Alligator mississippiensis: one gene and its partner. The protein of the gene in region 2 interacts with the protein of the main gene of each other region in a pairwise test. Links are inferred from orthologs where the notes say so. Each region holds a gene or a part of one and is shown on either strand. Other genes may lie near its edges.

Region 1 (7,858 bases), on a different chromosome or scaffold from region 2:
TGCTTCCTCCCGATATTTTTTCCAAGTCTCTTCCTAAAAATCAAAAACTTAAATTTCGAAATAATAATAAGGTAAAAAAAAGAAATGGGGGGCGGAATTAAAGAAAAGGGGCAGGGCGAATTTCGCTTGACGTCAGTTCCGGCCCGCACCCGAAAGTCGTATTCCCCCTTTAATATATACTTGGCCGGGGGCAGGAACCCCTCCAAGACCGGGTTTAAATCCCAGCAAGTAAAGATAATTCACGCGGGTGACGAAACCAATAAAAAGAGGCCGGCCTGAGCGTGTGACGTCACATCCGGGGATTCACACCCGGAAGTCGCCCATAAATAAGTTGTGGGCTTTTTTTAGTGTTTTCGAACAGTAAATCTGTTTAAATCCCTGAAACAGTAAATTCACTGGTGAGAAATGAAAAAAAGAAAAAAGCAGGGGGCTGGTCCGACGACGAGGCTTGAGGTCACTTCCGGGGTCAGGGGCTGGGCGACCCGGAAGTGCAGGCTGAGTGCGGAGTCCCGGGTGCGCGGGGCTCCTTTGTGGGGGGGGGGCGCTTGGAATGTTGGGGGCGCTCATTTGCATATGTGCGCGGCGGCGCGCGGGAGGGGCCTTTGGGGGTGTTTCCGGGGCATTTAGGGGCTCGGGGGGTCTTTGGAGGCCCTGGCACCCTCCGGGCTGGGTTGAGCGGGTGGCGGGGCACCCCCTGGCGGGGAGGCTTCCCGGCAGCCTCGCGTTCGCCCTGACCTGTGCGTGGGGCGGACAGGACCAAGAAGGGAGAGGGCTGGGGGAAGCAAGGGACTGCCCCCCCCCCCCCCCGGGGGAGGGGGTTGGGGCCGCCCCTCACCCCCATTCCTGCCCCCAGGGCTCTGGGCCGCCATGTCCAAGCGGAAGGTGACGTTCGAGGACCCGGACGACGACGACGACCTGGGGGGGCTGCCCAAGAAGCGTGGGGTGAGTGCGGGGGGGGGGGGGGGGCTCTGGGAGCCTGGGGCTGCGTCACCTCGTACTCAAGGTGGGGTGAAGTCCTGGAGGAAGGGGGCGGAGCTTGACGATGACCACGCCCCTTAACCGCACATAGGTGCAGGAGGCGGAGCCCGGCGGCCCCGGGAGCCGGTTCAAGGGGAAGCACTCATTGGACAGCGACGAGGAGGACGAGGATGAAGAAGCTGCCGGGGGCGGGATCTTGGCCCCGGAGGACGTGGAGGGTGAGTGGGGGTCAAGGGGCGGGGCTTGCGGGGTCAGGGGGCGGGGCCTGCACTGGTAGGCCGCAACCAGCAGCCAGAGGCTCCTCGCCTCTTGGTAGCTGGGGGCGGGACCTGTTGTGAAGGCTGTCCGTCACCGGTGGGTGGGCGGAGCCTAGTCTGGCGGCCCCTTACTAAGGACCGCAGGTGCAGTGGGTGGGTCTTCGTGGCTGTGGGCGGGGCCTGGGATGGTTATCCTGTGGGCGGGGCTTACCAGCGGCGCTGGATGCTGTCTATCACAGACGTGGGGGTATTGGGTGGGCTGGCGGGTGGGCGGAGCCTGAAGCCGCCCGTCACGCAGGCCAGGAGCCGGGCTCGGTGCTGGAGGAGGAGGGGGTGCGCTTCACGCCCTTCAACCTGCGGGAGGAGCTGGCCGAGGGCCACTTCGACGCCGCCGGCAACTACTTCCCCCGCGGCGACGACGGGCCCCCAGACGCCTGGCTCGACTCGCTCGACTGGGTGAGGCCTGGCATAGGAGTGGGAGACACTGCGGGGCAACGCAACGGCACTGGGAGGCATTGGGGAGAACTGGGATGGGAGGAGAGGGACACTGGGAGACACTGGGGTGGGAGGAGGGGGCTTTGTAGGGTACCGGGAGGAACTGGGACAGACTGGGATGGAAGATGGGGAGCCCGGGGAGAGGGGGTGGGAAGGTAGGAGGGAGGTCGCGGGCTGCGCTGGGCCCTGACCCTCCCCTCCCCTCCCCCGCAGGTGACTGTCAAGCCGCTGCCCGCCCGCCGCCGGGGGCAGTCCCAGCAGGGAGGGGGCAGCCCCGAAGCGGAGGGGACGGAGCCCGGCCGGGAATCCCCGCCCCTCCCAGACCCCCAGGCGGCGCTGGAGGGGCTGGTGGAGCTGGTGGGGCCGGGGGAGACGGTGGCTCGGGCCATCCAGCGCTTGGGCGGGGGCGGGGCCCGGCCCAGGGGGCGGGGGCGGGGCCGCGGGCGGGGCCGCGGGCGGGGGCGGGGCCGGCAGGCAGAGGTGGAGCCAGCACCGGAGCCAGAGCCGGAGCCAGAGCCGCCCGAGGAGGTCGAGAGGCGGGGCCGGCTGGAGCGGCTCTCGGGATTGGCCGACCTCATGGTGGCACGGGGCCACTACGGCGTCTACCAGGAGACGCGGGAGCGCCTGGCCCTCCGCCTCCGGGCCTTGGCCCCGCCCTCTGCCCAGGCCACGCCCACTGGCCCCACCCTCGACATGTTTGCTGAGGAGGTGGATGAGGCGGCTCTTCGAACCCAGGAGTCTGGTGAGCCTGGCGGGGCGGGGCGGGGCGGGGCAGGGGGCGTTGCCTGTGAGAGGGCGGGGCTGAGCTGTGCCCTCCTCCCGCAGGGGGCGGGGCCGTGGCCGTGGCGGAGGCGGCGCTGGACGAGGTGCTGTGGGAGTACAAGTGGGAGAACACGGCGGGGGCGGAGCTCTACGGGCCCTTCAGCAGCAGCCAGATGCAGGTGGGATGGCTCCGCCCCAGACTCAGCCGCATCCTGGCGGCCGCGCCCCACAGCCGCCCGCTGCATGTGACAGGCCGGGGGGCCCATGCTGGCAGCATACAGGGCGGGGAGGACCGCACTGGTGTTGCACACGTGTGGGGGGCCGTGTTGATGTGACGTGTGAGGGGAAGCCATGCTAGTGGGGGGCACCTCCATTGATGAGGCGCCTGTTGTGGGGAACGCGATGGAGGACCCGTATTGACGCGGCACCCGTAGTGGGGCCCCACATTGGCTTGTCATGCGGGTGGGGATGCGTGTTGATGCGGTGTGTGTTGAGAGGGACCCATGTCGGTGTGATACACGGGGATGACCTGTATTGGTGGACACATGGGAGGGACCATACGGGCCCGGAACAAGGGGGAACACCACATTGGTGCACGTGGTGGGTGGGGGAGCCATATTGGTGTGACGCGGCTAGACATGGGGGACCCTTATTAGTGTGACACGGGGGGGGGGGCCTTTGGGGGTGCCTTCCCCTAAATGGTCCCCCAACGTGGGCTCCCCCATGTGCGTTTGGATATGGGTCCCCCCAGTGTGTGTGTGTGTGTGTGTGTCCAATACAGTTCCTCCCGTGTCTCTTCAGTGTGGGTCCCCCCCTTACATGCATCCCTTTGTGTATCATCCCAATTTATGTTCCCGGGGGGTGTCCCCAGTATCATCCCCTCCCCGGTGTCCTCACTTTGGGCCCTGCCGTGTGTGTCTGTGTCTCATTGATATGGGTCCCTCTGTGTGTGTGTGGGGGGGGGGGTCTTCCTCCCTCCCTCCCCAGGGTGTGTCCGCAATATGGGTTTCCTCCATATGTTTGTGAGCGTGACCCCAAGATGGGTCCCCTCCCCACACGCATGTGTGTGTCCCCAATTAGGGCCCCCATATATGTGTGTGTGTGCCTGTCCACCCACCCCCAATTAGAACCCCCCATGTGTGTATGTGTGCTTGTCTCTGATATGGGTCTGTGTGTGTGTCCAATTAGGGCCCCCCATATATGTGTGTGTGTGTGTGCGCGTCCGTGTGTCTTACTGACATGGGTCCCTGTGTGTGTGTCCACCCCCATGTGCGTGTTCTCTATATGGGTTCCCACCGTGCATGCGTGCACACATTTCTCCCCAGTATCAGTTCTCTCATAGGTGTCTCCCTGATGTGCCCCCCCTCCCCCCCCATGGGTGTGTGTCCATATGTGTTTCCCCAATATGGATCTTCCTGTGTGTGTGTGTCTTCCCACTTTGGCCCCCCCATGTGTGTGTGTCTCCCCACGTGCATGTTGCACATGTCCCCCTGCATGTGTCTCCCCAATATGGGTCCCCTGTACGTGTGCATCTCTAGTGCAGGTCCCACCCAAGCGTGCATCACCCTGATATGGCGACGTCCCTGTGTGTGTGTGTCTCCCTGATACGAGTCCCTCTCTGTGTGCGTCACGGTAGTATGGGTCCCCTGTATGCGTGCATTTCCCTCGTGTGTGAGTTCCCCTTATATGGAGACGCCCCAGCTCCGTGTGTGGTTCTGGTGGGTCCTGCCCCATGCGTGTCACCCCTATATAAGTCTTCTGTGTGCACACATTGCCTCAACATGGTTCCCCCATACGTGCACCCCCATTTTCCATCCTGTCAGCGTGTGTGTCACTCTAATATGGGTCCCCCCATAACCATGTTGGTGCATCACATGATCTGTGCCCGTGTGTGTGACCCCCCTGCCCTACCCCAGAGCAGGCTGCAGCCTGGGGTGCCTGTCATGCCCAGCCCATGACACCCGCTGCCCCATAGCCAGCTGCATGGCGCCGTTCCACTCGTGCCCCCCCGCCTCAGCCACATCTCTCCCCCGACTCACCCCCTCGTCTCTCTCTCCCCCGCAGGAGTGGGTGTCCGAGGGCTACTTCGCGGACGGGGTTTACTGCCGGAAGTTGGACCCGCCGGGCGGGCAGTTTTACAGCTCCAAGCGCATCGACTTTGACCTCTATACGTGACCCCCGAGGCCCAGATTTTCAGGGCAGTCCCAGCCTGGAGACTTTGGGGGGAGGGATCTTTGTGTACACAGGTTTGGATTAAAAATGTCGTGTTTCACCCCAGAGCTGGCTGCCGCTCCGTTCTACCTGGCCTCTAGCTGCCCGCTCACAGCAGGGGAAGGCTCCCTAGAGCCAGCTGCATGGGGGCACCTATATAAGTGTAACGCGCGTGGGGGCAGGGGGGCTTGATTTTGGGGAGACCGCTGCATCATAGGAACCGTACATGGGGGGAACTTATATATATATGTATATATATGTGAGTGAGACACACGTATGTCTTTGTGGGGGTCCTAGTTTTAGGGAGACGCATAGCGTTGGGGGGGACCTATATAGGTGTGACACACGGGCCATCCTGATTTGGGGAGACAGCTGTATCATAGGAACTTCCTAGCACTGGGGGCACCCCCATAGGCATGACACATGTATGTGGAGGATTGCGGGGGGCTGTTTTTGAGGTGACGCACCCTGCATTGATGGGGCTGGTGTCCGAGGTCTTTCCAGAGAGACAGACGGGACAGACCCATGGGTGGGGGGGACCCCTTTTAGGGAGACACTGGAGGGGGCAGGTCAGCAGGCTGATACTGGGGTAATGCCCATAGCAGTAAGTGTCCAGGGGCTGGATTTTCAGGGGCTGGGAGCATATTGGTGTGACACCAACCAACCCACAGGGGACCCATATTTGTGTGACACACAGGAGGCAAAAGGTGCTGGGCTTTCTGCGGGGGGATCTATATTGGGGTGACACATGCATGGGGGGATATGAGTGTGACATGAGGGGGGGATGTGCAGTGGGGCAGCTCCCCCCTCCAGGGTGTGACACAGTAATAGTGGTTCGTGTGGGTGTCTGCTACCCCAGTAGCGGTTCCAGGGGTGTGTTACACCAATAAAAGTCCTCTGGTCACCCCAGGGGGACTGGGGTCACCCCAGTATGGTCTCCCCTTTTGGGTGGCACCCCAGTAGGGGTCCCCTGCATATCTCATACCCCAATAATAGTTGGTAGCGGTGCGTAACAAATGACAGTCCCCAGGGAGGTATGTGCCACCCCAATATGGGCCCCCGCCTTTGGGTGTGTCACCCCAATAGCAGTCCCCTGTGTGTCTGTTACCCCCATAAGGGTTCTCACGTGTGTCACACCGATTAGAGTCCCCCAGAGCTAGATCTGTGCCATTCTCAAAAAGGATCCCACCCCACGTGTCACCCCAGTATAGCCCCCACCCACCTGTGTCACCCCAACATGGGTTCCCTATGGTGTCACTTCATCACGAGTCTTCCTGTCACCCCCCGATATAGCTCCCATCGCGTGTCACCCCAGTACTGGTCACCCCACAATGGGTTCCCGTGATGGAGAGGGGTTGGGGACCCCATGGGGGGGGGGGGGGTCAGGAGGCTGCAGGGGGAGCAGGATTTGCTGTTCCCAGCGGCTGGAGCTGGGGTTTGGAGTGGCTCAGGTGTGCAGGGGGTGGGGCTTGGCGGTGGCCCTGCCCCCTCCGCACCTGGGGTTGGAATCGGGAAGTCAACAGCCTCCCTCCACCGCAGCTGCTGCAGGGAAGCCACGCGTCCAGCTCAGCTAAGCCCCCCGCCCCCCGTATCTCACCCCCCCAGCTGCCCCCTCCCCTATCAGCCAGGGGCAAACCCCAAGCTTCAAACCCCCCCCCCTCCCAGTCCGAAGAGCCCAGGCATCTGGGTCCCCTACCCCCCCCCCCCCCCCGGAAGGAACCCAGGTGTCCTACCCCCCCCCCCAATCCCCTCCCCATTGGTCAGGGAAGGAACCCAGGGGTCCGGGCACCCTACAGCCTCCCTCCCTCTCCCCCTCAGCCAGGTAGAACCCAGGCACCTGGCCCCGGCCCCCCTCCAAAGTCCGGGAAGGACCCCGGGCGTCTGGGCACCCCCTACCATGGCCTTGTGGGAGGATGGGGAGGAGGGGGGGGCGCCAGGGGGGGAGCCAGGGGGAGGGCCACGGCTCGCACGGGTGGAACGGGACCTGGCGCTGGCGGCAGAGCTGGGGCAGCTGCTGCTGGCGGCCAACGAGGAGCTGCGGCGCCAGCAGGAGGCACAGGACCACGACCACGCCCAGGCCCTGGAGGTGAGTGACCCCCCCCCCCCCCCCACCGCCCCAAGATCGGGGCCCCTCCCAGCCAGACCAGTTTGGGACTGGGAGGGGCCCTGGTGACGCACAGGGAGTAAATCAGCTCCACCTGGACTCCTGGGTTCCTTCACGGGGGTGGGGTCCAGATGCCCGGGTCCTCGGGGTGGGGGGAGATTGGAGGGCCGCGGACGCCTGACCTCTCCCCTGCCCCCAGCGGCTGGAGCGGGAGAACCAGGAGCTGAGGGTGGCGCTGGCAGCAGCACGGGCAGAGGGGGAGGGGCGGGCAGCCGAGCTGGAGGCGGAGCTGGCAGTGCTCCAGGCCCCACCCCGCCGGCCAAGCCCTGCCCCCGCCCTTGACCCCGCCCCCCTGGAGTGGGCAGAGCAGAACCAGCGCCTGGCGGAGGAGCTGCAGGAGGTGGGGACCTGGACGCCTGGGTTGGGAGGGAGGGCCAGGAGCCTAGATGCCTGGGTTCCAACCCACCCCACCCCGCCCCGCCCCCCGCAGGCGCTGGAGCGGGAGCGGGGGCTCCGGGCGGAGCTGGCGTCTCTGCGGGAGGAGACGCGGGCGCAGGGGCGGAGCCAGGCCGAGCTGGAGGCCGCGGCCCAGAGCCTGAGTGCAGAGGTGAGACCCCCCAACCCGGGCACCTGTGTCCCCTGCGGGAAGAGGGGGGCGGGCGGAGCGGGACCCAGACACCTGGGTTCGTTGGGCTTTCCGTGTCGCCCTCCCCCCCAGATAGCAGCGCTGCGGGCCCGGGTGGGGGCACTGGAGCAGGAGGCGCGGGAGCTGCGGGCCGAGGCAGAGGCGGCGCAGGGGCAGGCGGAAGCAGCACATGGCCATGGCCTCGTGCTGCGCCGGGAGCTGCACGAGAAGGAGCTCGAGGTACCGGCTGGGGGGCCACGAGGATCATGGCAGGGCCATCCTGGGGCACCTATTCCTTGAGGAACCTAGAACATACGCCCCCAAAGCCTTGCTAGCAACCAAGGGGTCAGCAGGTCTTGATGGACCTAGAACCCACCCACCCAGGAGGGTTGGGGGCCTTGAGGAACCTAGAAACCCCCTCCCCTT
Region 2 (7,748 bases):
CCTGCCCTGCCCTGCCAGGGGGCGGTCCCCAGTGCTGGCACCAGCCCATCCCCTCAGGTACCAGCCTGAGGGTGCTGAGCAAGGCCTGGCTGGGATGGGAGCACATGACGCTGCTCCCCCTCACCCCCCCAGCCACCCGCCCCTCGCCCCCATGGCCGACGGCCCAGCACTTTATATAGGCAGCAATGCGGTGCTGGCTCACAGTGCCCTGGCCCCCACCCAAGCAACCCAGCCTGTCCGGGCCCTTGCTGGCACCAGAGCAGAGCAGCTGAGATCGTGTTTCCAGGGATCCAACCCCAGAGCAGGAAGGGGCCAGCAGCTGCAGGGCACCATGATTTATGGGGGGGAACAGTCCTGGGGCCCAGCTCACGTCCACCCCACAGAGTCTGGTGGTGGGCATCAGCCTGGGAGGGTGCTGAGACTGGTCTCGGGCCTCAGGGCCTGGTTGGTGTCGGGACATCCCCAGTGCCCTTGGGGGAGCAGTGGCTTGGGCAGCTCCCAGGTGCAAAAGGCACAATGACCCCTGGCAGGGAGTGGGGCTCGGGGAAGAAGCGTTAAGGGATGAGGTCACAGTGGGCACTGGAGTAGACCGAGGACAGGGGGGCAGCAGGGGCTCTGTGCTGGGGGTGCAGGGCTGAGGCCTTGCCCGGAGAGTGCCCAGTGCATGGGATGGGCGCAGGCTCGGGGCTGTGCCAAACACCGGAGTTTGACACATCAGCGTAACCTGAGCTCTGGCCCCTGGCACCACGGCTGGGAGACAGGAATGCTGGGGGTCAGGCTGAGCCGGACCCTGCAGGCTCCCCAGAAGGGGCTGGTCCCAGGGGCACTGCTAAGACCCCCATGTGCCCCCCTCTGGGCAATTGATTGCCTGCTGTGTGCCCTTCCTGCGGGCACCTGGGACTGTGGCTGGGCTGGCAGTGCCCACGGGGCACCCTGCCTCACTCCAGCTCCCTGCTGGCTCTGGGGGCTGGAACAGGACTGGATCTTGCCCAGGGATCTGCTCAAGGGCCCCTGGGGTGGACGGGGGTGGAGGCAGCAGGTGCAGGGACAGCAGCTGTGCAGAGGGGTGCGGGCCCCGCCTGCGTATGCTGGGCCGGGAGATCAGGTTTCAGCCCAGCCCTGCAGGCAGCTCTGGGGGGATCTCCCTGCTCAGGCTGGGGCTCCTGCCAGGCTCCACTGGCTGGGGGGGTGCACAAGCACAAGCTGGGGTTTGTACATGTATCCAGGGGCCTGCATGTAAGGCCTGGAAGGGGCTGTGACCCTGACACACTGAGGACCTAAATCCTACTGCTCCCACCCTGCCCAGGCACCCAGCTGCGTCCACTGGTGTCCCCTGTCTTGTGCACATCTGTAGGGCCCACATGTGGAGTACGCAGGGGCTACATGCAGTGTGTAGCATGTCCCGGCACCCGGGGAGCAGGCCATGCCAGTCAAGGCCTTGGAGAAGAGCCACAGTATGTGCATGTGTGTGTGTGGAGGGGAGTGGGGTGCGGGCTGGCTGGCACCTGCCCCTGGCCAGGACCTGGCACCACCTCAGCCAGCCCCTGCCTCGGGCACAGGCCCAAAGCACCCCCAGCTGGGCGCCCCTGTCTGGAGGTCACCTTGCCGTGGGCATCACAAGGCCAGGCGTGATCTTGGCTGGAAATATCACGGCACAGGCAGGTGGCCACAGGCAGGGCCAAAATTAGCAGCAGGGCAGGAGCCAGCTGGTTGGAGCTGGGTCCTGCTGTCCCCCGGAGGTGCTGAGACCCCGCCGGATGTGTGTGTGTGTGGGGGGGGGAGTGGGACATGGGACCACCTGGCACCCTGCTGAAAGTTGGAGCCCCCCAGCCTGGGGCAGCCACAGCACAGCCTGGCAGGCACTAGCCCATGCTCCTCCAGGAGTGCTCAGGGCAGCTGTGGGCAAGCTAATCCAGCAGGCTATCTGGGGGTCTTCCAGCCCCAGGGCAAGGGCTGAGCTCCAGGAATAGGCTGCAGCATGTACGACAGTCACTAAACCAGCTCGGCACTGGCTCAAAATAGCAGGACCCACCTGACTGGGGGCCAACCAGGATCTCCCTGGGGGACTAGAGGCACCACAGGGGAAGGGGGCATTGTGGGGCAAGGCCTGCAGCCCCATCATTCTATGCCCCAGGGCCCAGGTGCTCTTGGCCCTGTGCCCACTCCCCACCTGCCAAACACGTTGGGGTGGGGAGGTCACAGCAGCCTGTGCCCAGATCTATGTTGAACCCCCTGCTGCACCAGCCTTCAAGGGACCCATATTGCCATCATCACCCCTCCCCCCACCCCACTTCCAGGCCAGGGGGTGTTCACCATGTTCCCCTCCTACACTGTCTGCTCATGGAAACTGAGGCAAGTGTGATGGCAGAAATTGGCTCTGCATTTCTTCATGCACATGCCTGCACATGCACATGCCCATGGCAAGAGCCTGCAGTGACCTGCCCACATACCTCCACCCTGCCCCCTCAGCTGTGCTGGGCCCTGGGGCATCGCAAGGCTGGGGGAGCTGGTGCTGGGCCTGGGGGGAACCCCCCACCCCAGGCAGTCCTGGTAGGGGTGCCCTGTGCAATGACCTCTGAGCTGATCCGCTGGATCATGAGAATTCAATCCCAGCAGGCTGGGCCGGTCGGGGGGGGGGGGGGAGGGCGGGTGAGCCAGTATTTTTAGAGCCAGCTGGGCAGGCAGGTCGGGTTTCCCACAGTGCCTGTATCTGCACTGCTGGCCTGGCCTGAACAGGCCCACGGCGCCAAGAGGCCCATCCTGGCGCCCGACCCCTCGCTCAGTGCCTGCCTGCACCCAGCTGGGCCACAGCAGCTCCAGCGTTGGGCCATGGCCTGGGCACTTCAGCAGGAGGTGGAGGAGGAGGTGTCTCCTCCCAGCTTCCCCTGGGCTGCCCTGGGACACCTGCCCTGACTCCCCAGCCCAGCCCCACCAGCAGCTGCTGCCCCTGTTCTCAGGACCTGCCCCTTCCCCTGCTGCTGGCTCTCCCACCCTGAAGGTCCAATGCAGGCCCTGGGAGGCACAGAGCAAGCACTAATTACCGCAGCCCCAGCTGGTGCCTGTGATTACCGCTGTGCTCGGTAATTATGGCCTGTCCCCACTGGGCCAAGCCCTGCCAGTGCTGGCCCAGTTCTCTGTTCTCCTCAGCTGGACCCATGGGAGCCATTGTGCCACCTGTGCCCCCAGCCAGCCCAGCAATGCCAAAGCCTGGTCCCAGGGAGGGAAGGGCCCTGAGGAGCCTAGGGGCATCTCCAGCTGCCACAGGGAGTGGGGCTGAGCCCAACAGCCAGAGGCAGCTCTGCCCTGGTGCAGCCACTGTCTGTGCTGAGCTGGGGCAGCTGTGCTGTCCTGCAAGGGCTTTCAGACTGCCAGGCCCTGCTGGGTCTGGGGACAGCTGAGCCTGGGGAGGAGGGGGCTAAAGGGGGCTGCCTCTCTGCAGGGGGCACAGGAGGGCCTGGGAGTGGCCTAAGGCAGTGCTGAGTGGGGGGGGGGGGGGCACAACCATGTGCACATGCACTCATACACATGCACACTCACACACACAAGCACACATGCACTCACAAGAAAGCGCACACACAGATACGTGCAAACAGGCACACATGCAAACACACAAACCCAAAGACAAATGCATACACAAGCAAACACACAAACCCAAAGACAAATGCATACACAAGCAAACACACATGCGAGGAGTAGTCCATCTATTGGCTCCTCTGTGAAATCCTATGAAATATGAACTTTCATTTCGACCCAGGAGAACTTTCACAATCTTTTCTCCAATGCCTCATCAAGGGTGTTTGCGCCTGAAAACTTGCAATTAAAGAACTTCTTTTGTTGCAAAAACGTAGTTGGTCTAATACAAGATACTATCTCTACTACGAGTCCCGACTGCGTTTTCCTTCAGACCAATAGGGCTACAATCCGGATACCTGACAACATACACACGTGCGCGCACACACGCCACCATGCATGAGCACACTCCTGCGGTCCCGGCTGCTCGGCGCTGCCCCCTGGCGGCCCCGGAGGGGCGGGGCGTGCAGAGGCGGCGGCGCTGCGGGACTCGGTGTCACCTCTCCCGGGCCGGGCCGGGCCGGGCCGGGCCGGGCCGGGCCGGGCGCTCGGGGAACCTGGCTCGGGGGCCCGGCCTGCTCGGCTCGGCTCGGCTCTGGCCCCGCGGCTCCCGCCTTCCGGGCCCAGGGCGGCTCCGTGCCCGCATGGAAGGGCTGGCGGGAGCCACTGCCAGGGGCCTGCTTCCAGGGAAACTGAGGCACCGGGCAGGGCCCCGCTTGCAAGAGCCTGGGCCGCGGCTGCAGATTCGGGGGCGGAGGGAGGATCGGGGCCCTTCAGGGGATGCCACCGGCGGGCGTAGGAGCCTACCCCGAGGCCCGGCTGCCAGGCGCGGCCCCGCTCCCCCGACGGAGATGCAGAAGCGGGAGGGCCGACCCGGGACGGGGGCTGCGGGACCCCGGCGGGGCGGGGCGGGGCGGACCGGGGGCCGCCGGGTTCAGCCCCGCTCCGCAGGGTCCGCACGGCCGCGGCCGCTGTCCAGCGCTGGGCGGGGCCGGCCCCGATCCGGGGGGTGGAGGGCGGCGGGGGCTGGGCGAGGCGTGCCCCGCCCACGACGGCCCCGGGGGGCGGGGCGCGGTGCATTGTGGGACCGCCCCCAGCGGCAGGTGAGCGGGGCGGCGGGGATGCTGTAGCGCGGCGCGGCGCGGCCGGGCAGGTGTGTGCGGGGGTCATGGCTGGTCCCGGGCGGGCCCCGAGGCTCGGGCCCCCGTGCCCGGGCTGTGCCCCGGGGCAGGTCCGTGCCGGTGCAGCGCTGCCCTGGCAGGGACCCGCGGGGTAGGCTCCGTGCCCAGGCTGCAGGGCCATGCCCCAGCGCCTGGCAGGGTCATGGGCCCCCGTACCCGTGCCCGGGCTATGGGCTGTGGCCCCATGCAGGGCTCCGTGCTGTGGCAGGATGGTGCACAGGTGCACTGATGCCCTGGCTGGGTCCTGGGCAGGCCCCATGGCTTGGCCCCCGTGCCCAGGCTGCACGCCGTGGCCAGGCTCTGGGGACCCCCGTCTGGGGGCAAGCGGTGCTTTGCTCCGTGCCTGCAGCTGTGCACGCGTGGGCTTGCTCACATGTGTGCTGTGGGCCAGCGAGTGCAGACGCACTCCCTGGGCACCAGCTGACAGGACCAGTTCCCGTGCTCCACCCTGCGCAGGGCAAGCTGGGGCCCATCTGTGCCTCTGGCTGGGGCTGTGTCTGGTGCCGCCCGGGCCATGGAGCTCCCACGCCCCGCCTGTGCCCACCCACAGGGACTTGCCAGCGCCTTCGTGTCCCTGCCCTGCTACCCCCACCTGCCCCTTGGCCTGGTGCTGAGGACTGTGTTGCTTCAGCAGGTGGGCAGGCAGGCGACACCATGTCGGTGGTGGCAGGGCTGGGTGAGGGCACTGGGGGCCGGCCAACAGCGGACGACATCGTGGCCAGCACACGGCAGGTGGTGAAGGGGCTGGAAGCACTGCGCAGTGAGAACTGTGCCATCCTGCTGCAGCTGCAGGGCAGCCTGCACTGCTGTCCCGATGCCGCGCCTGGGACGGAGCTGGAACCCCCGTCTGCCGGGGACTGGGCCCTGGAGCTACTGGAGGAGAAGCACGAGCTCGTCTGCAGGATCTTGGAGGGCATCGAGCTGGGGCTCGGGGAGGCGCAGGTGTGGGGCTGCCAGGGCACAGGGGTAGGAGCTGGGGGGGCCTTGGGGTTGCTTCAGCCCCAGCCTGGAGCTTGGGGGAGTCAGAGCTGGGGAGGGGGTAGGAGCTGGCGGGAGGGGGCACAGCCGACCCCACTGACCCCTGTCCTCACAGCTCCTGCTGGCACTGTCGTCCCATGTCGGGGCGCTGGAGGCAGAGAAGCAGAAGCTGCGGGCTCAGGCCAAGCGGCTGGGCCAGGAGAACCAGTGGCTGTGGGAGGAGCTGGCGGGCACCCAGCAGCGCCTGCAGCAGAGCCAGGAGGCCGTGGCCCAGCTGGAGGAGGAGAAGCGGCACCTCGAGTTCCTGAACCAGCTCAAGCAGTACGAGGGCCGTGACGAGCTGGTGAGAGCACTGGGACCTGCCCATGCCCCGAACCCCACACAGGCTAGAACCTGACCTCCCTGTCCCAGTGCTGGAGCACAGGGCCTGGCTCAGGGACACAGAGCAGCCCTATGGGGCAGGTGCATAGGGAGGTCCCCGCTGCTTCATGGCCCCACTGTGCCCCCAGCTGGAGAAGGACGAGGCACCAGAGCGTGATGACGGGCTAAGCGGGCTCTTCACAGGCGATGAGGAAACGCGGCCGGGTGTGTGCGGGCGGCTGGCGCGGGGGCTTAAGCTGGGGGCAGTGTTGCGGGGGACAGTGTTGGGGGGGGTAGGGCTCCCCATCCATCCTGCCCCCGCCCCAGCACCAGATCTGCCCTTGGCTGCTGGCTGGGGGGGGCCGGGAGCAACTGCCCCCAGCTGATGCCTGTCACCCCCCAAGATGGTGTGGCGGGGAACGCAGCCCAGCCAGGTGGTTACGAGATCCCGGCGCGGCTGCGGACACTGCACAACCTGGTGATCCAGTACGCAGCCCAGGGTCGCTACGAGGTGGCTGTGCCTCTCTGCAAGCAGGCACTGGAGGACCTGGAGAAGAGCTCAGGCCACAACCACCCCGACGTGGCCACCATGCTTAACATCCTGGCCCTCGTCTACCGGTGAGGCCCCCCCAGCTAGCATGTGGGACCCTGGCTGGCCCCTTCCCGGGGCACATGGGACCCTGGCCAGTCCCTGCCTGGGGCACACGGGATCCCAACTGGCCACCTCTGGGCACGCGGGACCCCAGCCAGCACGCCCTGGGACACAGCTCTGCCCGTCTGCCAGGGACCAGAACAAGTACAAGGAGGCCACGGAGCTGCTGAATGATGCGCTGGACATCCGGGAGCAGACCCTGGGCGCCGAGCACCCAGCCGTGAGCGGGGCAGGGGAAGGGGTTCCCTGTGAGGGGCTTCAGGGCCTGACCCACACCCCCAAGTCCGGCCCCAGGGAGGCAGGCCAGGGCTGGGCACCAGCATGTGCCAAGGGGAGGTCCCTTGGCCCTGCCCCCTCCCCATGGGACTGGAGTAGCTCTCCCCCCCCCCCCCACTGGCTCCTGCCCCCACCCTGCATGGGGCTGCGTAGATGGGGTGGGGGGGGGTGGGCACAGAGCTGGGCTCTGAGCCCCCTCTCCCTCACAGGTGGCTGCCACGCTGAACAACCTGGCAGTGCTGTACGGCAAGCGTGGCCGGTACAAGGAGGCTGAGCCGCTGTGCCAGCGGGCACTGGAGATCCGTGAGAAGGTGCTGCCCTCCAACCTGTGCCCCCACTCCCCCGCGCGATGCAGGGCAGAGCCTGACTCTTCCCCCCACTCCGTGCTGCAGGTCCTGGGCACTGACCACCCTGATGTGGCCAAGCAGCTCAACAACCTGGCGCTGCTGTGCCAGAACCAGGGCAAGTTCGCAGCAGTGGAGCAGTACTACGCCCGTGCCCTGCGCATCTACCAGGCCCGACTCGGCCCCCGTGACCCCAGCGTGGCCAAGACCAAGAACAACCTGGTGCCTGGGCTTCGGGGGGCACCGGTGCAGATGGGTTAATGGTGGGGGGGGGAGGGGATGGCTCTGGCATGCAGAGGGTTAAGGGGGCAGTTTTGCCCCCCTCACTGTGCCCTGCCCTCTTCGCCCCTCCCACAGGCCTCCTCATACCTGAAGCAGGGCAAGTAC

The links.
Region 1: the proteins of KLC3 (region 2) and BICDL2 interact in binary tests that used the Homo sapiens proteins (3 or more experiments, as listed by UniProt). The two-hybrid records come from large-scale screens. The link is inferred for Alligator mississippiensis from reciprocal best matches to the Homo sapiens genes KLC3 and BICDL2.

Annotation. Positions count from the first base shown.
Region 1 is NC_081830.1:652,885-660,742, reverse strand, and holds the start of BICDL2 (BICD family-like cargo adapter 2), read left to right. Parts: upstream 1-4,847; 5' UTR 4,848-6,069; coding exon 6,070-6,789; intron 6,790-7,006; coding exon 7,007-7,207; intron 7,208-7,297; coding exon 7,298-7,414; intron 7,415-7,525; coding exon 7,526-7,672; intron 7,673-7,858. Other genes in the region: CD2BP2 (CD2 antigen cytoplasmic tail-binding protein 2), read left to right, coding at 868-942, 1,070-1,196, 1,534-1,691, 1,944-2,472, 2,556-2,671, 4,557-4,667.
Region 2 is NC_081838.1:168,992-176,739, forward strand, and holds the start of KLC3 (kinesin light chain 3), read left to right. Parts: upstream 1-4,736; 5' UTR 4,737-4,979; coding exon 4,980-5,693; intron 5,694-5,844; coding exon 5,845-6,072; intron 6,073-6,238; coding exon 6,239-6,314; intron 6,315-6,493; coding exon 6,494-6,707; intron 6,708-6,873; coding exon 6,874-6,961; intron 6,962-7,226; coding exon 7,227-7,328; intron 7,329-7,409; coding exon 7,410-7,583; intron 7,584-7,718; coding exon 7,719-7,748. UniProt on the Homo sapiens protein: Kinesin is a microtubule-associated force-producing protein that may play a role in organelle transport. Plays a role during spermiogenesis in the development of the sperm tail midpiece and in the normal function of spermatozoa.